Caenorhabditis elegans: one gene and its partners. The protein of the gene in region 3 interacts with the protein of the main gene of each other region in a pairwise test. Each region holds a gene or a part of one and is shown on either strand. Other genes may lie near its edges.

Region 1 (4,375 bases), on a different chromosome or scaffold from region 3:
AGGAAAACAATCGAAAAACGCAAAATTCTGGAAAAAAATAAATCGAAAATTCAAATGTCCGCAAACACCGCGCGGCGAAACTGCACACAATGCGCAGTATTGTACGCGCAAAAAACTTGGAATAATAAGAAAATTTAATATTTATTCGGCAACTAAAAATAGGAAAATTCTAATTTAATTGGAATTTTTATGAACAAAAAAGCCAAAGCGGAAATTAAACCCTACCGTACTACCCATTCCTAAAGGCGCATAAGTCTTTATCAGGCAAAGATCGAAAGAGATGCTATCAAATTGCGGTATGAATGGACAATATGTGCAAAGTACAAGCCAAGACAAACTGAATAACAATGAAACTGAAAAGGAAACACCAAAGTTGAGATAGGTAAATGTTGAAGATCCCGAAGGTTTTTCATCCAGGCGGGAGCAAAAAGTCTCTTTTTCAAGTTCACTTCTGAATATCTGTTTTTTCCATCTTTTTACATTGAAAAATGAATTTGAATCAATAATGAAATAAAAATAATCTTCATCAATCAATTGGAAGTCATAAACGAAAAGAAATCAGGAAAGTTATTGTTTTTCAATTGTGCGTTGGACCTTCAAAGTGATGTTTCCTCGATTCTTGAAATCTCTTAAACCTCCCTGCAAAAAAATACAAAAAATTACATTTAAAAAATCTAATTCTTACATAATTATAAATATTTATTCCATCGATCGATAAGTTTATGTCACCAGCATAAAGAGCTTCATCTACCGGCGATCCTGGAATAACCGAAAGAACCTTGGCGATGCCATTTGAGATTGTAATATGGCATCCAAAATGTTGACTGGATGTCTGAAAAAATCTGTATAAGTATACTGGATGTGTTCGGGATGTATACCTTGTTAATTACAACAGTAAGAATTTCATGCTCCGGGACCGGCTCCGGTTCCTCGCTTCCTTCGAGAATTTTTGGAATACAAGCCGCCTGAACCGGCGTCGCAGTTTTAATTTGCATAGTTTCGAGCTGTTGGTTGATCCAGGAGCACACGCCGAGCTGGGAGAATTTCTTAGTTGTCATGTTGTCTTCGGAGATTTGAATGGGCTTTGGGGTGTCATCTGATGACTTGAATTCATCGCCTTCTTCTCCATCGGATTTTTCTTTATCTGAAACTTAGTTTTTCCTCGCCCTTGACAGCTTCTTCAATTTCCTCAAAATCTTCATTTTTCACGTTTCCTGAGCTAGGAGGCTCTTCCTGTTCTTCATTCATCTCCAAATCATCATCATTGTCCGGTAGAATTGCGTCTGGCATGATTTTGGCTGTAAATTCATAGAATGTTCGAGTTTTTTTTATTTTTAATTTTTTTGTAAAAATTAATTTTTCGTTTTTTCTCAATTTTTTGTCCGAAAAAAAATAAGAAAAGTTCGAATTTCTGTGTTTTTTAAGGCGATTGAATTTATGCAAGTCAAGTTCAGTCGACATCCCGAAAAATTCTGATCGACGTCGAAACCACTCCAAAAGCTATGTTATAGTTTTATTACAACTGTAATTATTAAAAAGCAAAACGAATTACACATGAAATTATTGAAAAATTAATTAAAACGAGGTATTAAAGAGATGGAAATTCCGTTGGATCCAGCATCCCTCGATTACAAGCTGGACAAACGCTCTTTTCCTTGAACCATTGGGAAGCGCACTGAAAATTTTGAAATTTATTTATGAAAAGGTTTTTGAAATGAATAATCTTACATCGAGATGAAACCGACGTCTACACGAATTGCATTTGATAGTTTTTTCAGTCGAAATAACGTCGTCCAGACAGATAAGGCATCGAGCATCTGATAGCTCGGCGCTAGAGCTTGAAATTGATGAAGAAAAGGAGACTGACGGGATGGATCCTTTTTCGCTGGAGGTTGAAGCTTTGAGCTTCTCTGCGCCATTCAGAAGAGCTTTTTCATATTCTTGCATAAACGAATCCGAGAAGGATGGAAATTCCGGAAGCTTCTTGAGCTGAATTCGAGTAGAATTGTCGTTTGACATCAGAATCTCTTCAATATTCTCATCCAACACTAGCATGAAATTCTGGAATGCTCGATTGAACTTGATCAGCTCGTATTTCGCGGCACGCATCGTAACTTCATCTGCCGATAGTCTGAAAAATACAAATTAAAATTTTAGTTGAATGCCGTAATTAAAAATACCTGGCGACAAGTTCCGCGGCTCGTCGCATTGGATTTTCCTTCAAAATCAAATTCCTCGTCGATTCTAGGCCTTCCAACGTGTTTACCATGATTTCCAATCGATAAACTCTAAAACTTAATATATTCTGGGAAAAATAATATTTTTAAAACCAGTTAACGACAAAATCACACAGAGAAAGCTGCACAATTCAGAAAAGATCCGAAAAATCGATAAATCCAGCGTGGCAAACAAAACGTGGGCCTACCGTACCGCTTCAAGGGACATGGTATAATTCTTGCACGGGTTTCGCAACGATTGAGTAGTTAATTAATTTAAATGGAGGTAAAATTAAGAATTTCGAATTTGTTGAATAATTTATATATTTTTCAATATTATTTCCAAAAAAAAAACAAATAAAATAAGGAAAATTTGAATTTAATTGACATCTTTCTGAACGAAAAAGCCAAAGCGGAAATTAAATCCTACCGTACCCATTTTTAAAGGCGCACAAAGTTTTATCGGGCCAAGATCCCGCCGCGTCTTTGAAATTTCCAGGCACAGAATTAAAAATAAAAGAGGTTTTAAGAGGAAACCACATGTTGAAAAAGGTTTATTTACAATTCCAAAAAAAACACTTTTATAGTAAAAATACAATTACTTGATGCTTGGCTGTGTTAGTTCCTCGTTTCGATACATATTGACGGTTTTTGAACAAGTTTCTCGAATTGAACGTTCCAAATTAAAGGGAATTATGCAAATTTCTGGATTATTCGGAAAAAAGTTTCACTGATGACTGAAAAAGGAGAAGAATAATATTGTTGGATAGTATAAAAAATGACAAAAAGTAGAGTGCCTAGTTTTTGTCTTTGTCATAAACCTTTGATATTTTTTCCAAGTCATAAATTATTTTTTTTCAAGTTTCTTTTTTTTGAAACTTTGTTTCAAATTTGTAGTTTTTACAGGAATAAAAATCTAGAGGCTTCCGATTTCGGATATGGCTATTGACCAAGGGACGAAAAATGTGCTCCGACTATCGATTTCATTTTTGCTCCTATTTTTTGCTTATATGAGTCAAGAATACATACAAGAACCACTTATCGAGGAAAAGCATAAAACCGGTGGGAATATTGATCCTCACGCCGGTTATCATAGGTTTGTCTCTTCTATATGGTCACTTTTTCAAAAGCAAAACTGATTTTAGTTTTGCTATAACTTACTTCTTTTTCACACTTTCTTGCCTATTTGTTGCTCCAATAATTGATAAGATTTCCGCGAAATGGGGAATGGTTCTGAGATTTTCGGCATATATTGCATTTCAATATGGATTTATACATATGAATACTTATTATGTGTACATTACTTCAGCGAGTTTGGGTGTCGGTGGTGCTTGTAAGTATGAATCAGGAGGGCTTCGCAAATGTTCTGAAACTTTCAGTCATATGGGTTGGCCAGGGAAAATATCTGACGGAAAACTGCACAAGTGAAACTATTGAACGAAATATTGCTCTGACTTGGTTCATTTTTAAGTTCTGGTGAGTACTTCCATCAATTCTCTGTACCATTTTGATTTTTCAAGCCTCCTCGGTGGTGGAATATTTCTCTACGTTCTGTTCTACAATCAAAAAATGAACGAATTTCTGGAATCTGGAGATGTATTGTATTTCCAACATCCATCTGTTTCTAATTCTGCCAATTTTCAGTACAAAACATTCGTCTATATCTGTTGTTCCATTTCTCTATTGGCGGCGATTAACACGGCATTTCTGCCACAATCAGTGTATGTTCCGGAGAGAAAGAAGCATGAGACGTTCGCGAAGACATTGAGTGAGTTTATGGTAGGTCGCCTTTATGCCTGCCTGCCTACCACCTAATCTAAATTGAGTGTGAGCACAATGTCACTGACTGAAGATTATTTCATTTTGACTGTTAATGAAAGTTCAGCTGCTCGGCAGTAGGCACATATACAGCCCATCATCGGGCAGGCGTAGGTTGTCAGGGAAGTAGGCAGATTTTTTTTGCTTTTTGCCTGCCTATCTATCTACCTAACAGTATGAGACCTAGTTTTGAAATGTTTTCCAAAATTTTTCGGAGTAGAGAAAATTGCGAAAAAATCACATTAAATGATATCAAGTTACTTGGTGACAATGTCAGCGCTATTCAAAAATCAATCAATGTCGTGACGGATTGGTGCGCAAAATGGAAATTGAACCTTGCT
Region 2 (5,677 bases), 5.2 Mb from region 3:
CCGTGTTCCGCAGATTGTGATGAACGAATATTTCCACATTGTACAAAGGTTTGTTGATCTTTTTTAAAATTAATTCGAATTCAAACTAATCTAGGAATGCAAATGTGACTACGATTACCCAGCGGTTCAAAAGTTCTGCAACCCACCTCCATTGCCTCTATTTCTAAACACATGCAGACTTTGGTATTATGGATGCCCGAAATACGAGAGATACCATTATGCATCTCAGTTTATCTATTCGAAAGCAGAAAAAGGAAAAGTTTTGGAAGGACCAAAGACGTCCACAACATTCCAACTGTTGGCTCCTTCTGGTGAAACTTTACCGTATAAACCGGCATCTGCTCGAAGATTCAAGAGAGATTCTGACATGGTTTTTTGGCCAAATGATACTAGTTTATTTTTAGAAGACAATAAGAATGACACTGTCGATTTTGAAATGGAATTGAACCAAACTACAACAAAAAACGTTGATAAAGTAATAACTTTGAAGAATGGAACAACAGTTCATCTAATTGCGGCGCCACCACTTCCAAAGCAAACTAATTCAAGGTGAATTATTTCTATTTTCGAGTTAAATAACAAAATTGTTTTGCTAACTTTTTAGAGGGAATGTGTTATAGAAGGTGTTAAATTAAAAGCATAAGATTTAGATTATGTAAGCCTTAGTCGAAGGGTCAAAAAATCAGGAAGAGTTCCGAATTTAAGATTTGAAAATTAAGAACAAACGTCTTCAGACCTGCGCTTAAAAGCCTAATAACGACTTACACATAAAAATTCGAGTGATGGAATCTTAACTTAAAGGTATGCATCTAATAGTTAGGATTTAAACATAAAATCCTAATATTTAGTTAATTAAGTTTAACCGCCGATTCTGACGTTCCGATTTTTAGGTTCAAGTCCTAGGTTTTACGTTTTTAGGTTTTGAATTTTAGTTGCAGGCCCTGGAGTTTAGAACTTTAATTGCGACCTTGTCTCTTAGACAAACTCATATGATTAGGTTCTTAAACTCACAGGTTAGACTCTATAAATTGCTTTAAGAAATAATGAAAATGTTATATTTATTTCTAACCAAGTCGCAAATCTTCTTTCAGAGATCAAGTTCTAAAAGATGCCGATCAATCAGCTCCCAATCTTCCACGCGTGAAAAAAACTACAGGTGGTGCAGCAGTTCCAGTATTTTCGGACAGTGTGTTCTCCAATGCATTAGATCAATACAACTCTTTAACCGACTCTCGAGGAATCCTGCATCGCCCTCGTAGTAGATCACCATTCACTAAACCAGGGCTCTGGGAGCCGAATCCAGATGACCCACATAATCGCGATCATGCTAACAAATACTATTATCACCCGGAATCCGTGAACGTGGATTGGCTCCAGGGCCAAATCGCTTATGGTGCACATTGGGCCGTGCCAGCTGCTGGAGTTGGAGGTACTGATGGGTTTAGTGCTATTCACTTTCCCTCTATTGGAACTTTCCTTAATATTCCTGATGATTATGATTAATTATTTCTATTTTTCTACTTTATTTTGATTAATGAAAAGGAATATAAATACTATTTGCTATTGAGATGAGATGAGATAAAATGAGGTTGGTGAATAAGGGATAAGGGATAAGTAATGAGGAAAAAAACGAGAACAAAATAAAATTAAATTTGAATTTATGTACACACACAATAAAATGAGAAAAAAACGCGATCTGATTAATATATTTATCGCTTTACAAACATCATGACCAATCGCTTGTAGTCCTCGACTTGAGTCTCCAAGGTTAAAACCATTGCTTGAAGTTGAACTTTTCGCTTCTCTAGACGCTCTCTTTCCTCCTTTGATTCGCGAATTTTGGCTTGGCGCTTTTGACGAGATTTTTGGGATGCTAGATTGTTCTTATCCCGTTTATGACGGTAGTCCGATGACGAATCGGACGATACCGATGAAGTTTTGCGCCCACGTGTTATTGTCGTTTCAACTGTTGAGGAGGAAGATGATTGAACTGAAATGGTTTTTAATGTTTAAATTGAACAAAGAGCTGAGTTAAAGAATATATAAATGGGTTCAGACGATGACGTGGATTTTCCTAATTAGTGTGATACTGTCTTAAGCTTACTTTTATTATTGTGCACAAGCTGTGGAAAGAACTCGTCAACTGGATCAATGTCCGACGCTGGAGGAGAAATGTGTGAAGCGTTAGAAGGAGAGGCAATGGAATCATCATGAATGTAGGCGTCAAGAGATGTGATATCACAGCTCATGAGAGAATCCAGATCAAGAAAATCTGCATCTGGAGATGCAGCCGAGGAACTATTGGCGGCTGGTGGGAAGGCTTCTGGAACCGGTGGGAAATCGAATGCATAGTCGAAGGATGTGTACTCTGGTACATCAAATTCAAAGCTCCCGTGGGAAGCTTGTGGCGTGCTCATGTTGGGCTCTGAAAATTTTATTATTCAAATTATGATTCAAATTCGCTCAAATTCGCCAACTAACCGCTCAAATAACGGTCCGCTTTCGGTAGGGAACGTCGTGTCATTGTAGTCGTGTAGGTCGTTTGCTCGTCGAGAACCACAATTAAATCGCAATTTGGTTGATGCGTGAACTGTAGTGGAGATTGCTCGGCAGAATTGATCTGGTGAAGCTGAGGAACTGTAGTCGTCAGGCAATCCGGCAGGTTTCTGCAAGAGTTGAGGATCCGACGATGGTTGTGGTCGGCGTGGACTGCATCCTGGAGCGGTGAGTGGGCCAACGGCGGAAGTGGCGGCGACGGAGGCCAAGCCGAAAACCCGACGGCTAGTGGAGCCGATAGCTGAACAATTATTTGTAAAAATAAAATATTCGTCCAATTATGAAAAACTAACCGGCTCCATACTTGGCCTCGTCCATGAAGCAACACTGTTGACTGAACATGTTAAAATCGGTGGTTGTCTTTGCGTGATACATTGTGGAGAAAAGAAATCTTCGGGAAGGCCGTCGAAATCTAGTGACAAACGAGCTAGCTTCTAGCTAGGTGGGGAAAACTTTTCTGAAATATATTAATTATCGATTTTATTCGTTTTAATTTGAATTGTATTGATTTTTTATATTGGTGATCGCCACGTCATCGTCATAAGATAATGATTTAAAAAGGTAATTATTATTTGTATATGACAAACCTGGAGAAGGCGATGAAAGCGAACTGATGGACGTTTTGATTGCTCCGCGGACGGTGGCGGTCGTGGGACCTTGAAACTGGTCCCTTGCTGAAAAATACCACCGTTTAGGCAAAAGCATGTCAAAACAATCGATTCCCGTAAGCAAAATAGAAAAAAAAAACAAAAAGTCACCAATGGACAATTTGTCAAAACGAAAGAATGAGGCAGAGAAAACCCAAAAACCACGTTAGAGCGGACGCTCCACCCACTATTGCACAACATTTGGCAAGATTTCACATGATGTCACCCAGTCGGAGACAGACGACGGGGGTCGACAAGACACTGTGTGTCGCAAGAGGATTAGGGATGGCAGAGTGTGTTTGAATAGGACAGTGAGCGTGCGCCGACCGACACAGCCGACCAACAATGTGAACGAAGTGTGGAGAGGAATATGTGTTGATTCAGACCACAACCAAAAGATCAAGGAACTGAAACACACATTCTGACCCATCGTTGGGTTACTCAGATGGTGATCATCGGTACAAAAGTATAAATAGTATGAAAGTATTCTGATTCACATTGACAAAATTCATGAAGCATCTCTAATTGAACAAAAACTGGATTGCAGGAGGTCACAATTGATGATGATTGATTTCCAATTAGATATGGAAAATTGTTAGCTTCTCAAAAATACCTGAAGTACATGTAAAAAATTGTTCCCGTACCGTCCCAGAGAAATGTATGAAAAATAACTATTATTGTGATTCAAACAAAAATTAATCAAGCATTTATATCACAACCGACGTCACTACTTATCAAGTACGACATAATTTATTCAAATACATTGTGAATTTTTATATACAGACAAGATATGGTGTGAACTCATTACTTGTGCGTTCTATGAGCAAATTTATTAACATTTGCTTATTTTCGATATTTGAATTTAACACATAGGTATAATAACAACTTCATAGAACATATACATTCCATTTAAACAATCGCACATTGGACTTTTGCTTCAATTCTTCATAACGTCATTTGATAAGAATTGAAGATTGATAAGCGGAGTTTTCTGAGTAATCTTCGCTTTTTTCCAATGTTTACCCTGTTCAATAAAATGTATTTCTGACTAACCTTTTTGATCACACATTGCATTGACAGGACGTCGAAAGGGCGACTTGTTAGAAAATCATATGATCCATTTGAAGACTGAGAATACAAAATGTGAAAGATTTTCTTCAAATGAGTTCAGTTTATATAGTCCACTCTTGATGCAATGTTGTGCAACAGTATGTCACAAGATGTACCTAGTCACAAACTACTGTAGTTTCATAATTTTCAAAGCGGAGTACTCTCAACGTAGGAACAGTTTTTTTCGTTTATATTTTAAAGTTAATGAATCATTTATCCAAAAGGCTGCTTGCCAAAATTAATCAACATTCGACAAAGCTCCTGGTTGATTCAATTATAAAAAATAAATATTCAATTTTACATTTCTTCATTAATTTTTCTTCGATTTCCGTTTGTATGACTTTATGTTATTGAACACAAATAAGCGATTGCAATTGTTGCCAAGCAACCGGAAAAACCAGAAAAACAAAGACGTAAATTTGTAGTCAGAGCAAAATATGAAAATGAAAACCAAAAATAGAATGTGTCTGTGGCTTCAGCTTCAAAGTTCAGGAGATCAAAGGAAATTTTGAGCTAACTCCGGAGTTGGGATAATGTAGACATGAAAGAATAACAAAGAAGGCGCTGTAAAATGTGGGTGCATATTAAAACCACCAGCTCGAAATCCACAAAAGGATTTAAATATTTGTTGTTTTTCCTTGTTTTGCAAGCCAACACGCTTACACAAAATATTTAAGTATAGGATGTGAAATGACACTAGAAAATAAATGATCGCATTCTAAAAACTGACCAAATGTTGTTTGAAAGTATATACATACAATGTTTGAACAAATTTTCTAAATACAAGAAGTTTGTGTGCCACACTACATGTAATTGTCCCAATTACAAAATTATTGGTTATCTTCTTTACTTTTTGTGTCTGTGTCGGCCGATAAATTGTAGTCTTCCTCTCTCCCGTCACGACCTTGCGTTCGGTTCGTTTTCTTATTACTTGACAATGTTTCTCTATAGAATACTCGTCCGCCTCTTACAATTTTATTATTTTGTCAAATTCTCGGCAATTCTATTCCTGGGATTTGCGGTTAAAGGAAGATCATTGTTTGAGAAAAAGCAGCGGGAGAAGCCAAACGTTTTGGAAGGATGGGACAGCAGGTACATCAAGTTAAAGGTAAAAAATAGTTTTTTTTAAATTTTGCACTATGAAAAATTGCAGAAAGTGCGGCTTCATTATGTCCAAACTGGATCCGATGACAAACCATTAATGCTATTTATTCATGGATACCCCGAGTTTTGGTATTCTTGGAGATTTCAGTTGAAAGAATTTGCAGATAAATACAGGTGCTTTAAAAAAAAAATTACTGTTGAGAAAGACTTCGAGTCTAGTGGAATCACGGTTGAGGATGACCCACAAGTGAATTTATTGT
Region 3 (8,059 bases):
TTCAATGCTGCAATACAATAATACACAATTTTTAACTGAAAATTGTAAATAAATGTGAATGAGGAGGTTGCGGGCGCACCGGCCTTGAGAGAGGTTATGGGAGTGAAGATGAAGAAAAGTTTTATTTGATTTTCAATGTTTTAATGTTTATTATAGACCTATTTTTTAGTTTTTTATAAAAATATCCTGATTAGACTCCTCCAATTTTCTTCATATCTTAATTTTTAAAAAGTTTCATTAAATAAAGAATCCCCGATTGCCAAAAGCCTCCTTCTGAAACTCCAAGTCTCTCCAATTCTGGCATTATTAATTTAAATGCATAAAATCAAAATTTCTGGAAAAATATATTAAAATTGGATGCACTTTTGTGCTCTTTTCCATTAATTTAACCCATTCTTTTATTTATTAGTTATCGCCTTCTGTCGTGTGTATGTGTGTGTCCAAAACCCTTGCCTCTCTTTCTCTTTCAACCCAAAATGCGTCCATAAAATGTTTGAATGAATTAATGAAATGGGGAGTCGTTTACTACGCTGCGTCTCCTTTAAATCACTTGATCTCTCATTTTCTCTTATATATTTCCAAATCATAAGAAATTTTGAAATATATAGAAATTGAATGACAGAGAGAGAGAGAGAGTAAGAGTAAGAGCAGATGTTTGGCAGTCAGACAACGGGGGGACCGAGGCCCACATTAAAATTGAATGAAAAATTTCGAAAAAGAAAATTTTTATTTTGCATTCACGAGTGGTAGGGGAAAAAGAGGAAACAGCGATTAAATATATAAACATTGAAAACTTTTGGGCGGGGTTTAGTGGAGCAAGTGGGAAAGCTTATGAAGATGTTTGAATTCAGAATGTGAATTTGAACGTTTGGCCTAGAAAAACCAAAACTTCGGCCAGCGATATTTTTTCTTATGTAGGCCAGGATCAGAGCATCCTTTTTTGCTACATGATATAAAAACCTAAACTTCGGGAACTAATTAATTTTTTTCAGCAAACCTTATCTACAGTTTTCTGGATGCAAGATCTTTATTTTTAAAAGAGCTGCCGAGTTCTAGTATTTCTAGACCACTACGTGTGGCAACATTCTTTCTCTTCCTATTTTTAGCTCTATATACCCCGGTTGACTTGATAGGCGAATTTAATTGAGAATTATAAATTTTCCATTTTCCAAAAAGTAAAATTCCAAATTCAAATGTTCTTTCTCCCACTCCAATATTGTAACATACAATAAAATTTAATCCTATCTCTCTTTCCTCTGTGCTTTCCATAACCTCTCTTCCATTTTGCCCGTTGGTGGCAGGCGATGGGCGGGTTTGACATCGTCCTTTAAGAATAATAAAATGTGTCATTTGGTGCCCTCTTTATCTCTATTTCTCTATTCCTCTCTAACTCTCGTTTACAAAACGCCACCTGCTCTCTCTTTCTCTTCATTTGACCCCTCTACTCCCAACACCCAAACAGACACCATCCTTTGTTCCGTTTTTTTTGGTTTTTTGATGGTGGACAGTGGTGATGGACATTTCGTTTTACTCCATGTTTTATTTTATTCTAATGTGCTATGTGTGCAACCAACATCTGCCTTCCACCGGTATAATGAGATTTTGACTAGGGAAGGGTCAACTCATGGTCACGTTGGCGACTCTTTTGGGACTTTTGAGTGAACATTTCTAAATTGTAGATTTTTCGCTATGGCCAGTTGTCAACCCTAAAAATTGGGATTTTCATGGTTTTTAAGGTACTGTTTTTTTCATGCAATATTTCAAATTCAATTATCTACAAACAAAAATATTTTCTGGAAAATATTCAACTGAAAAGCCAGCTGATATTTTCCAGCATTTTGTCAGTTGATAACTTTTTTCTAGCATCACAAAGTTATGATAATTTAAAGACTCTCCACACTTCCAACAGAGGTAGCAAAGAAACGAAAAGCTCTCGCTCAATAGGGTGCTGAGAAGCTAGACTCTGCACTCTCTTTGCAATTCCAGTTAGGAAATTTATAACTAACTAAAAATTGGCAAAAAATATTTTAATATTCTGAATTTATAACGAACTTTTGGCTTCTGGGGTAGTCACTTTGAAAGCTACATTTTGACGCGCCTTTTTTAAACGCCTTTTCGAAAATTTTATTTCAAAATTCGTTTAGTCTTCAGAATACAATATGATTCTGACATTTTTGGCAGAAAATTACATTTTTCACACTCCGTGGGAGGTCTATAAATTCGTTTTATGTTAATCGTGGCCAGTTAAAATTTTCAGCGCGTGCGCCTTGAAACTTTATTTTTCAAAAAAAAAACTTTTCCCCCCGATTACGCCTTCCCCAATTCTCGCCTATTTTGTTACACAAATTTAATTAAAATTTTTTCTAAAATTTTCATTATTTTCTCTTTCCCTCTCTCTTTTTCTGCAAAACCCACCTAGAAAACAATTTATGTGAAATTAAATTGTTATTTACTGCGCAACCGGAAAAATAAAATAAAATTTAAAAATTTGTAAAATGCGAAATCAGCAATTCAAGTATCTCTCTCCCTCTCTTTCTGGTGTCCTCGTCATCCACTACCAGCCACAAAAATAAAAAAAGAATTTCGCATTTTTTATGTGATTCAGAGAAGTGTCTCCCGTATTCGAGTACTATTTTCGAGTTTTGCAATACATCTTATCAAAAATATATGTTTTGGGGTGAAACGGGAAAATAGAAAGAGAGGGACAAGTGAGAGAGCAGAATTTAATATTTTTGATGACTTTTTCAAACAAATTTTTTTTGTTGAAAACTTTTTCCCTCACTTTTTCACATTTCTTATCATTCTTCTTCGCTTTCTCGAAATTTAATTTCATTTTTTAAACGCATTATCAATATGTTATACTTAATATTTCAGATCAACTCAGATGATGCTCCAACCGCCAACTTTAACGCCGAATGCGAATGGTGAAGAGTTCAGAGGATCCGTCAGTACAGATCGTAGTTCAGCTTCTCCTTCCAACATTGACGTGAGTTTGGATTTTCATCGTTTTGATGTGAAAAAAGAACACTATAAAAAATTACAAGACATATAAAAAAATTTTACTGTATGTCTTTTTTCAAACTTGTTCCCATGTCTTACATATTTAAAAACTATACATTAAGCTTGGAGAGAGGTTCAAAATTTTTGAATGTCTGAAAACCTACATGGGCGACCTCTAAAATTTCTAGACTTTAACAACAAAAAAATTGTGTTCTAAAAAAATTTCGCAGTTTCAAAGATGTAACGCAAATACATATATTACACATTTCTCAATCTTTTCTCTTGTTTTCGCACTCGTTTTGCCCGCCTCCCTCATTCATTTTCACAATTTCTCTCTCGTTTATTTTTTGCCTCAAACATCTCAAGATGATTTTTTATTTATTTCGAAGAAACTCGCAATTTCATTTTTTTCAACATTTTTGCCTCGCTCGTTAAATGTAAGAGAAATAGACATATTTTTCGATATGTATTGAAAAAATTGAGGTGAGAGTGAGAGCGATGAAAATGTGCTAATTCAGAAGGCAAACAACTTTTTTTTTCGATATAAAATTTATGAAACATTTTTTTTCGTTTTCCATATTTAGAAGTGCTTTTGGAAAAGGTTTAGTTTTGCCTTTATGCTCACTTTGAAATAAAATTTGCCGCTGTGGGACTCTGTGGGACTCGGAACCACACATATTTTGTTTTCCCGCTCTTTCTCTCCCTTTTTTCTGTTTAACAAAACCTTTTCAAAATAAAAAAAAGAGCACAATTTTCTTTTGGTTTTTTTTTGCGTTGTCCCCACAAGAATTTTATTATTTTATTATCTACACATTACACGATAGAAAATAAAACGTAGCGAAAATATTATCAGTTATCGGAATCGTTAAAATTATTGAAAAATTATAGATGAAAAAAATTCTTCTTCTTTTTCTTTGATAATGATAGGAATTAACAGAAAATTTCAATTTAATGATGATTGTTAGATGCTCGCGGAGCACACGACAATTCCGTAAAAGTGCGCGAACAAACAAACAGACTGTTTTTTTTGTTGAAAAAGCGAACTTTTCCTCCTCCCCTTCTTTCAATTTGTGCTCTCAAATCATTCATTTTTCCTACAAACATAAAAAACCCAATTTCTTTCGATTTTCCGTATTTTTTATGGCGCTCTTCTAAAACCGCACTATTTCTTTTCCATTTTTTTTCAATCAAATATTTATATATTTTTTTATTTATTTTGAGAAGGAAAACGGACAGGGGGGAAGGCGAGGTGGTGGTTGAGCCAGCAGCCCGCTCCCTCTCCTGTCACAGCAGCACCCAGCCACCACATACATACAACCCTCAATTTGAGTGAATTTGTGACCAATTTTCTAAATTTATTTGGTATTTGTTAGGTTGCTGCACGAATTGCTCGAATATAAATATATCTGATACATGAGTTTTTGCAATTCTTATTGATCAAGCTTAAGCTCTTCTCTAATTCTGAAATATTTGTAGGAGATCATGGAAGACGATGTGAATCAGAAGGACGAGGATGAAGATCTGAACTTAGTGGATCGTGTCAGCAAGCTCGAGACAAATTTTGTATTCATTCAGCATCAGGTGAGTGAAAAACTATTAATAAATTATTTTATTTTCTAAATCGAGAATGAAAGAAGTAGAAAAATATATTTGCACAACAATTTCGACAAGTGCAATGTGTAATGCAACAAGTCATAGGTGTCTAGTATTTATTTTGAAAATTTCCAAAAAAAAACTCGACTAGACACAACAATAGGCTTACCGTCCGTCACACATACTATTTTTTTCGATTTTTCACCCGTGGAATTCATTTTCATTTTCATTCACAAAGTTTACATTTGACCATCTCTCTTTCCCTCTGTCGCCCTGTCTCGGGGCTCACGCATCGTATACATACCGGACAGAGGAAGCAGATTGAAGAAGAAGAAGTGAAGACAGCGATCGTCAAATAGTGTGTTTTGTGGGAGGAAATAGTAGAATGATCCAAAAATAAATTAAATGTCAACATTTATTGACGCGGAAAAATGGAAAAAAAATATAATTTTATCGTGGTGTTATGAAATTTAAAATATACATGGACCCATTGAACTGTATGTTTCCAGCTATCCTCTATCATGAACCATCTTCATGCTCCACAATGCAAGTGTACAACATGCTCCAAAGTCAACCAACCTGGAGCTGAAGAGCAGAAGAATGATACATCAGTGCTCTCGCAGCTATTCCCTAATGCTTCTGATCAGCAACTCAAGACTCTCCTCGATCTCTCGAAAATGAACAAGTTGCCATCACAAGTTGTTCACAAGGATCAACAGAACGGATCATCTTTTCTACCATCAGCAAATAAGACCTCTGAAAATCCAAAACCTATTGAACTGAAGCCTCTGAAGCTTGGACAAGGCTATCAGATGGCGAATGGTGGAGGTGGAGGCAAGATTCATACCGAAAGACTCTCAGAACCAGCGAGAAAGCAGAGCCGGAAAGTTGGATTCCCACCACCAGTTGCTTCATATTATCAGAGAAAGGAGAGCTCGAATCGTAAGTTCACTATACAACCACAGCGCAATCTAGAAACTCTAATTTTCAGCTTTGGTCCCGCCAACTCCATTGTCGTCCATCCCAAATCTGATTACAAATTCCAATGCAGTATCAGCCAACACTTCAACAGCTTCACCAGGACCCTCCTCGGAAGGAAGTGGTGATGATCATCTTGAGGCTCCAAATGAGGTGGCTCACATGCATTCTAGTACCGTACCAGCTACACCAACAACTCCAGGAGCCAACTTGTTCACTCAATGTAAGTAGATCCGCATGTTTTTTCTTAAATTTTTGCCAATTTCAATTATGCTAAAGGGAAGGAAATCTAACTTTAAGTAATTAGAGCAGTACTTGAATTATATTTTTTATCAATGCAAAACAAATTAATTTTTAATTTTTCAGCTATGGTCGATATGCTCAAACTGAATGCACAAAACGCTGCTCACTCGACAGGTTCTCCTGGATTCTTACGTGGACGTGGTCGCGGACGTCCAAAGCTTATCGGAGATGAACTTGATGCTGATCTCGTTGACTACATGGTTTCCCTGAAGAACTCAGATCCACATGGTGGCCACTTCACCGCATCTCAGGCCCTGCATATGGCTCGTCAATACATACTCGAAAGAGCTCCAGGCCTTCTCGAAGAGCATGGAGGTCATGTAAAGCTGAAGCTCACCTGGGCGATGAAGTTGGTGTCGAGAATTGGGGAACGACAGCGGGAAATCGAGCTAGGACTTCCAGCCGGAACACTGTCGAATATGGGACGAAACTTGACAAATATACCGGCTGGTGGCAATTTTATGGCTGATATGATGGCTCAGAACATCTTTTCGCAGCATATGATGATGGTGAATCAACAATTGGAAGGTGGATCTCCACCAGCATCTTCTTCATCAACTGCCACGACATCGACAGCCACGAAGACAGTGAAGCAAGAGTCGAAAAATGGACATCAGAATGAGGAAAATTTAAATGTGAAACAAGAAGGTGAGTTGTCACGGGTTCTAGTCCAACTTCACTTGAACCTTCTCTAAAATTATAATTTTCAGCCTCCACGATGCCCGAAATAATAAATATCAAAGAGCTCAATCTTCCATTCCTCAACAACTTCCTTGCCGAACTAAACGACAACAACTCGGGACTGATTGACGGTGAAATTGGTGCAGCAGGTCCATCCATGGCTGCTCTTTTTGCTCCGAACGCATAATTTTTAAAAACATTTTTTTGTTTTATTTTCTTGTTGTAACATTTTACTACTGAACCTCCATTCATCTCAAAACAGACCACCCGATTTTATGGGTATTTTTCGATATATTCTTATTGTCAATTACTTCTACTTTTTCCCTGTCATCACCTCTTCCTATATGTATCATTTTCTACACATAGGCATCACTTTCAACATGTTTTATACTTGCTTTTTTTTTTGATTTTCCAATTTTCCAATTTTCCGGCATCAACATTCACAAAACAAAATATGTTAACAAAATTCAAATTAACAGTATTCAAATAAATTATACAATCAAATATTTCCTTTTCAAGTATTATTATAGGAACGGATGAGAAGTGCCACGTAGGCAATTATGCGAATTCCGATGAACATTCCAAACAGAATTGAAATATCAAAAATTTTATGCGAAGCCGAGAAATCGATCTGTAATTTTAAACCATAAAAGCTTGAACAATGAAAGTTCCACCTCGTTGTGAAAAACTTCTTTTGAGCATTATTCGATGTTCAGAAAATAAACACCAAAAAGTCTACGATTTAGTTTGGTTAAGTAATCCAACACTGAGAAACAGATTTTTTAAATGTTCCTAAATTAATTTCTAATAATCCAAAACACTAACCGATTCCAAAACTTGATGCCCATTTTTTGGGCAGCTATCCAACGCAAACGCAGTCATTGAACTATTGAAACACTCCGGAATCACTTTGATCGAATCCCATTCATTGATCGCGAGAGCTTCATAACCGTATCTAAAAGATTTGTTATTATATAACACAAATCATCATGTTTACTTGAAATAAGAGAGCGAAGAGAGCCATTTAAAGTAAGATGGAATGGCGTCAAATGTTATGAAGAATCCTCCAAACGCCATAATTGGAACTACAAAGATTGGAAGTATTGTCATGGCTACATCAGTGTTGGCAAAGATCGTTGCGACAGCGTAAGCTGAAAAGAAAAGAATGAAGCAGCTGTCATCTCACAGGTCAAACTGAGCACAGCTTACAAATGGAAATTGCCACGTTTGTAATCAAAATTGTTACCAGCGACGCGAAGCAATAGTTCCAGAAGTTAGGATAGAGCCCAGACATCCAGTAGACAATTGTATTGTATAGAATTGGAAGGATTATGTATTGAGGGAGTTCTGCAATGTTTTTCGCAAGAAAATATGCACTCGTTCGATACACTCCATTTGCATTTTCTCGGAGTACAATTGGAAGTTCTGCCGTAATAACCTGAAGATTAATTCAAATTCTGAAATTAATTGGCTGCCTGGTACCGGAACATTTGGGAATTGAAGC

The links.
Region 1: the proteins of attf-4 (region 3) and Y52E8A.2 interact in a two-hybrid assay, tested with the Caenorhabditis elegans proteins (one large-scale study listed by BioGRID).
Region 2: the proteins of attf-4 (region 3) and zip-2 interact in a two-hybrid assay, tested with the Caenorhabditis elegans proteins (one large-scale study listed by BioGRID).

What each region holds. Positions count from the first base shown.
Region 1 is NC_003280.10:4,318,749-4,323,123, reverse strand, and holds Y52E8A.2 (RING-type domain-containing protein), read right to left. Parts: upstream 2,289-4,375; 5' UTR 2,270-2,288; coding exon 2,181-2,269; intron 2,132-2,180; coding exon 1,729-2,131; intron 1,676-1,728; coding exon 1,589-1,675; 3' UTR 1,507-1,588; downstream 1-1,506. Other genes in the region: Y52E8A.1 (RNA helicase), read right to left, coding at 568-639, 686-832, 879-1,058; Y52E8A.6 (UNC93-like protein MFSD11), read left to right, coding at 3,155-3,312, 3,362-3,549, 3,596-3,692, 3,737-3,812, 3,861-3,984.
Region 2 is NC_003281.10:831,641-837,317, reverse strand, and holds zip-2 (Transcription factor zip-2), read right to left. Parts: upstream 3,231-5,677; 5' UTR 3,144-3,230; intron 3,014-3,143; 5' UTR 2,859-3,013; coding exon 2,850-2,858; intron 2,798-2,849; coding exon 2,482-2,797; intron 2,426-2,481; coding exon 2,105-2,425; intron 1,991-2,104; coding exon 1,710-1,990; 3' UTR 1,507-1,709; downstream 1-1,506. Other genes in the region: dos-3 (Delta and OSM-11-like), read left to right, coding at 1-48, 95-549, 1,092-1,503; ceeh-1 (Epoxide hydrolase 1), read left to right, coding at 5,047-5,421, 5,467-5,591. UniProt on the Caenorhabditis elegans protein: Transcription factor that binds to the promoter and the enhancer regions of target genes. May act together with the bZIP transcription factor, cebp-2. Involved in responding to mitochondrial damage.
Region 3 is NC_003281.10:6,077,689-6,085,747, forward strand, and holds attf-4 (AT hook-containing protein attf-4), read left to right. Parts: upstream 1-2,874; 5' UTR 2,875-2,887; coding exon 2,888-2,986; intron 2,987-4,476; coding exon 4,477-4,581; intron 4,582-5,102; coding exon 5,103-5,535; intron 5,536-5,584; coding exon 5,585-5,794; intron 5,795-5,937; coding exon 5,938-6,522; intron 6,523-6,584; coding exon 6,585-6,742; 3' UTR 6,743-7,060; downstream 7,061-8,059. Other genes in the region: ABC transporter ATP-binding protein/permease wht-1, read right to left, coding at 7,070-7,186, 7,381-7,510, 7,553-7,706, 7,765-7,993, 8,038-8,059.